Linked DNA regions of Kluyveromyces lactis. The protein of the gene in region 1 interacts with the protein of each later gene in a pairwise test. Links are inferred from orthologs where the notes say so. Each region holds a gene or a part of one and is shown on either strand. Other genes may lie near its edges.

What was found.
Region 2: the proteins of SAH1 (region 1) and CAF16 interact in binary tests that used the Saccharomyces cerevisiae proteins (3 or more experiments, as listed by UniProt). The link is inferred for Kluyveromyces lactis from reciprocal best matches to the Saccharomyces cerevisiae genes SAH1 and CAF16.

What each region holds. Positions count from the first base shown.
Region 1 is NC_006037.1:109,483-113,113, forward strand, and holds SAH1 (adenosylhomocysteinase), read left to right. Parts: upstream 1-1,676; coding exon 1,677-3,026; downstream 3,027-3,631. Other genes in the region: KLLA0_A01177g (uncharacterized protein), read left to right, coding at 1-1,166. UniProt on the Saccharomyces cerevisiae protein: Adenosylhomocysteine is a competitive inhibitor of S-adenosyl-L-methionine-dependent methyl transferase reactions; therefore adenosylhomocysteinase may play a key role in the control of methylations via regulation of the intracellular concentration of adenosylhomocysteine.
Region 2 is NC_006042.1:820,469-823,535, reverse strand, and holds CAF16 (putative ATP-binding cassette family ATPase CAF16), read right to left. Parts: upstream 1,498-3,067; coding exon 676-1,497; downstream 1-675. Other genes in the region: SAGA complex subunit SPT8, read left to right, coding at 1,792-3,067.

The DNA.
Region 1 (3,631 bases):
GTGTAAGACCTGAATCAGCTACTACTGACCCCGATGATGAATCTATTTTCTATGAAGATGATGATGTGGATGAATACACGGAGACTTCCACTATTGTACTAACAGTAACGCAAACAGCCAATTCTGCCCTTGACTTGAAGGCAACGCCTAGTGCATCTGGTCTTATTGTTGACGAATGTGATATGTCTATGGAAGAAATGTTAAGAAACGACTTTATGTCCTGGAAAATAACGATTGAAAACAAACTGTCAAACACTATGAAAGATTTCGAAAATGATATCAATGAGTTCGCTCAGGAGAAACTAGATCACATTCAACCTACTTTGGCAGATCTATTGAAAAGAGCCAGTAACACTTCACAAACCAACTTCCAAATAATCACTAAGGCCATCATGGATGTAAATTGCACTGAAAGTGTGGATCCAAAAACCAACAAAACCATATGGTTCGACCAAAACAATACCCAGCTACCTAAGTACATGACCAGAGAATTAATGCGTGAATATTTCTCGGCAGCACATTCACAATTCGATGCACTATCACAAGAGATACGCGCTCATCTACGAAAATTGGCAGACGAAGTGAACGATCACGTCGAAGTTCTCCGCCAAGAGAACGTCGAGCTGTTTGAAGAATGGGCAGATGTGATGATTACAGAATGGTCTAAGAATCTAGCCTACGTGGACGTGGCTGTTAACGAAGAGAAGCTGGCAGACTTAGAAAAGGAACAGCGTAAGAATTGGAAAGACTTCATGAAGTTGAAAAGACAAGTGATTAAGACAAGAGATACATTGATGGAGCATCCAGTGAAGCTTGACTCTCTACAGTCCTTTGTGAACACAGTACAGCAGTCGTTGAAGACGCTCTCTCATGAAAACGGAGAATATTTGTACATTTTGAGAAGTAAAGCTAATCTAGAGTTCCAAGCACGTGAGGCTTTAGAGCGACAGCAAAGAGAGAAGGAGAAGGCAGAGTCCGCTTCGATGAAAGCATCAACTGAATTCGAACTCTCTTCCTCTTCCTTTTCCTCTTCCTCTCCCTCCACTGCATCTTCATGCACTGCATCAAGTACCTCTACTGCTTCCTTACTCGCTGTGGAAAAAACTATCGCACTAGAAGACCTGCAATCCTATTATCAAAATGTATCAAGTACAGATTCTCTGTAACGCACTGTAACATTTCCCAGCATCATCTAATGCTGTACGTGCAGCGTATATAATAATATAGTATAATATGTAGTTTAATGACATAACTCAACTGTTACCCTCCTTCGGTCTGTGCATGTGCAAAATTAAAATTAATCCGCTGTCCAAACTAAACGAGCACATGTCCAGAAAAGGAATTTTCAACGACTAAAAATCAAGTTTCTCCAGTAAAGTAAGAAAGACTTGCCACTCAGAGCTCATCGTTCAAAGGACACCAAACTGTTCAAATCAAGGCATCGCCTTGTGAAAAAAAAAGTAAAAAAAAAAAAAAACTGGATAAAACTGAAAAAAACGAAAAGGTTCAATCTACCGAGTATATAAAAGGAACAGAAACACATTTGGCAATTACGTTGGATTGGGATATTCATAGATATAGATTCCTTACGTACTTTTTGATTAAAGTTAATATTAAGGTTTAGTTGTTACGCAAAAGCACACACCACATATACAACACAAGAACATACATATAAGATGTCTGCTCCAGCTCATAATTATAAGGTCGCTGATATTTCTCTTGCTGCCTTTGGTAGAAAGGAAATCGAATTGGCTGAACACGAAATGCCAGGTTTGATTGCCATCAGAGAAGCCTACGGTGCTGAGCAACCATTGAAGGGTGCTAGAATTGCCGGTTGTTTGCACATGACCATTCAAACTGCTGTTTTGATTGAAACTTTGGTTGCCTTGGGTGCTGAAGTTACCTGGAGTTCTTGTAACATTTACTCTACTCAAGACCACGCTGCTGCTGCCATTGCCGCATCTGGTGTTCCAGTCTTTGCTTGGAAGGGTGAAACCGAAGAAGAGTACTTGTGGTGTATCGAACAACAATTGTTCGCTTTCAAGGACGACAAGAAGTTGAATTTGATCTTGGATGATGGTGGTGATTTGACCAGTTTGGTTCACGACAAATACCCAGACATGTTGATGGACTGTTTCGGTTTATCTGAAGAAACCACCACTGGTGTCCACCATTTGTACAGAATGGTTAAGGAAAACAAGTTGAAGGTCCCAGCTATCAACGTTAACGATTCCGTTACCAAGTCTAAGTTCGACAATCTGTACGGTTGTAGAGAATCCTTGATCGATGGTATTAAGAGAGCCACCGATGTCATGTTGGCCGGTAAGGTTGCTGTCGTTGCTGGTTACGGTGACGTCGGTAAAGGTTGTGCTGCTGCCTTGAGAGGTTTCGGTGCTCGTGTCATTGTCACTGAAATCGATCCAATTAACGCTTTACAAGCTGCTATGGAAGGTTACCAAGTCATCCCTATGGAAGAAGCTGTTTCCTCCGGTCAAGTCTTCGTCACCACCACCGGTTGTAGAGACATTATCACCAAGGAACATTTCTTGCAAATGCCAGAAGATGCCATTGTTTGTAACATTGGTCACTTCGACATTGAAATCGATGTTGCTTGGTTGAAGGCCAACGCCACTGAAGTTATCAACATCAAGCCTCAAGTCGACCGTTACTTGCTACCTTCTGGTAAGCACGTCATCTTGTTGGCTGATGGTAGATTGGTTAACTTGGGTTGTGCTACTGGTCACTCTTCCTTCGTTATGTCCTGTTCTTTCTCTAACCAAGTTTTGGCTCAAATTGCTTTGTTCAAGGCTCAAGACAAAGCATTCAGAGAAAAGTACATCGAATTCCAAAAGACTGGTCCATTTGATATCGGTGTTCACGTTCTACCAAAGATCTTGGACGAAGCTGTTGCCAAGTTCCACTTGGACAACCTAGGTGTTAAGTTAACCAAGTTGTCTGACGTTCAATCTGAATACTTGGGTATTCCAGAAGAGGGTCCATACAAGGCTGATCACTACAGATACTAAGCTGAGTTCATCTAAGAATATCTTATCCGAATCATCAACAGTAGCGTATTGTAGCCTACTTCGATCTTTATGGATATCTCATTTTTTTCATTTGCTCATGCTTTTACAATCAGTCTGCTAGCTTTTCTATGGATGATGACTTTCCTTCGTGATTGTAATAATCTTTTAAAATAACCTTTCTTTCTATTAGCGGTTTCACTCAACTGAATTCCTGCAATAAATTGCACATTGGGTATTTTACATTAGCGCACCATCATTAACATTTTCATTAACATATCAAGCTCATAAATTGTAACTCTCAGGCGTTCTCTCAGTGAGATATTAATACGACTGTACAATGCTTGGCATTTTTTTTTCATATTATCTTTCAATGAGTATTAGATACAGAATCTACACTCTCATTTAATGTACATATCACTTTATAAATTACTTACTAATAACAGATCTTCAACGGTTAATTCAAGCGTAGAACGCCCACATTTCTGCAAGACCTTAACATTGCATTCAAGCCTGTACAGTATAAATCTACACATTGCACTTGCATTGTCGAGTATCATATTGGTGGACTTTGTCTTGTTTTTTCTGCTTAGGGTAACTGGGAAATG
Region 2 (3,067 bases), on another chromosome or scaffold:
CTATATGCCGACTTATTCCTGCTGCTTTTACGATCTGAATCTAGCAACTAAATCAAACTGGCTAACTCATCGCCTTATATACATATATTATTTATATATCAGTGTGTATAGAAAATATCACGATTTCATTTTTAACTTTTTTTTCACGAAGTTAACCAAATTGAACGATAAAAAACCCGAGTTTTAACGATAGAATGCGAAGAGTATCGAGCCTCATCGGTCCATTTCTTCAATAAGCATTGGCTTGCGAAACCAAGCCGTTCATACCGTTATCACAGCTAGTCTATACGACTAGCTCTTTTCTTCTAGAGTGTTTACGGCGTACTTTTCGCAAGTTGTGGCCTGTTTTTCTGTCGCCAGTTGGGCTTTGATGCACATTTCAGCACCACCCAGTTTCCTTTCTGGTACGGCAGTTTCTGGGGTTTCCTAACTGTTTTTTTTTATTCGCTTCGTATTATGCTTTTCATTCTTTTCGTTCCCTCGAGGCGAAATCCCGTAAACGACGTTATACGATTGGCAGCATTACGTTTTTTAAACGAGGAAGGGAGGGAACCTAGGCAATGGACCGATATATTACTCACGTGATTTATCTTTCGCTTTGTGTATGATTAAAGTCTGATTATGTATATATAGTATATTACAGACATATATCGGTTTGACCGTTTAGAAGTTGAATCAAAGCTTTTGGTCTTCGACTTGGTCTCTGGTCAACCAGTGGAGTGCAAGCGGGTATAAACTCTTCATGTAGCCTAGTATCACGGTGTGTCGTCCGTTGTCCTTTCGCTCTTGGACGCCCTCTATTTCCTTTGTAAAGTGGATATCACGTTGGTAATCCAACGTTCTTGTGATGGTGCCATCTTGCAAATGGATAATCTCATCAGCCCATGGTGCTAGCCCATCGAAAATGTGCGTTGCATACACAACGCTACATTGTCTGTCTCTCGTTTCTCGATCCAGGAATTGGAATAGACGGTCACGTGCCACGACATCCAAGTCCACAGTGACTTCGTCTAATAGCAGAACTTTGAAGGGTTTCAATAAACCCATGCACAGTTGTACACGTCTCTTTTGGCCATCGCTAAGTTTGAACATTCTCCAATTGATATCCACTTCCAAGATTCTCACTAGCTCTTCACCTCGAGCCCTGTAGTGGCTTAGTCCGATACTCTCCAAGAGTTCCAGGACTCCTATATCCCTGTGTACAATAGCCATACTAGCCCATTCAGTGCCTAAGTAAGTAGTCAGTATCACGGACTCCTGGTCATTGTTTGGTGCGAATGGGTTCTTGTTTCCAACTTTTATGTTCCCACCGAGACACAAATGTTTACCACTTAGTAGTTTCAACAGCGTAGATTTTCCAGCACCGTTGTTACCCACCACTAAGACTTTCTTGTTCCATTCGACACTTAGCGATAGATCGTGGATTGCTGAGCGTTTACTTCCGGGGAATGCGTACGTTAGATCGTGCACTTCCACTGCTAGGTCGTTCGAGGCCATTATTTGTTTTGGCTTGTAGTTTTCAAAGGTTTGAGTGACTTGTTCTATAGTTAGATACCGATTGAGCGGTGATTAGAAGCTCCGCCAGTGTATAATAGGATCGTTATCTTGTTGTCTCCATTTGAAAGTGTTCTGATTCAATTTGATATTTGGAAAATAAAACTGTTGATATTGAAATGATTTCAACCAAAATAAACCTGTCTGTACGAATTTAGGACACAGTGAATATGACAGGAAACACTGTAACACATCACAACAAAACATTGTCCTTTCCCACCTAAGCCACGTTCCAATATGGATGATGATGTGGATGAAATCTTGAATCAAAATAACGTTCAAAATACTCAAGATGATGATGTTGACATGGACGATGAATTGGAGGATGTAGATGTGGATGTTCCGAACGCCGAAGAGGACGAGCCGATGGACGAGGAAGAACAAGATGAAGATGCTGAAGATGCCGATGATGACGACGATGAGGATGAAGATCGGAGCGATGACGAAGATGCTGAAGATCGAAGTGAGGATGATGATGATGATGATGATGATGATGATGAACGCAGTGATGACGATGATGACGATGATGACGAGGAAGAAGATGAAGAACAGACAGAGAATGGTGAAGAGGGCACGAGAACGGGGGAAATTAAACAATCTAATACCCACGAAATTGGAGATGATGATGCCGAGAGTGCCGAAAAGGAATCCGCAACTTCTGAGAAGGATTCTCCATCTTCTTCAGATGGGAAATCTACTGAAATGTCAAAGCTGGATAAGATACATCAATATTATACGACTCTTTATAGATCTGCATCTGTAGCAGAATCTTATAATATACTTCCAACTGCAGCAATACCAATACAGACTAATGTACAGGCATTGACCATGTCCAAGGGTCTACGGTATCTATTTCTCGGTGGGTCAGACGGGTTTATAAGGAAGTTTGACTTCTTAAATACTGTGGATGGTAAGCTATCACTAACTATTCAGCAGAAGAACGCATTGGTGGATTCAATTGTCAATGCGGGTATCTTGACTTCTTATTGGGAGAATGAAGTACCGCAACCTCCGTCAAAAGTAAAATGGGTAAAACAAAAGTCGGAGTATCTTCCTCTCGTCTCACCTGTCCACTCCTTGGCGGTTCAAAATGAATGTTTGTTCATACTAGCCGGACAAGAAACTGGCGGTATCGTAATGCAGGGTGTTAGATATTTTGAAGGGAGGACTGCACACTATTTTAAAGGTCATAAATCCATCGTTAACCATCTTGTACTTAATGATGAGGAAACTAGGTTTTTATCGGGTTCTTGGGACAAAACCGTCATTGAATGGGATTTGGAAACAGGAACTGATATAACCAAGTTCAATGCTACATCACAGTTGTCTTCATTAGAATTCAGACCCACCAATGCCGCCTACGAACTTCCTGAGCCTAACTTGAGTGGACACAATCCTGATGTCGATAGCAATAATGTAGTTGGCAACGGAGATGCAGCTGATATCGATGATGTTGATACTAATTCATTGTTTGGTGATGATGATGATGATGATGATCAGGATGATCAACACG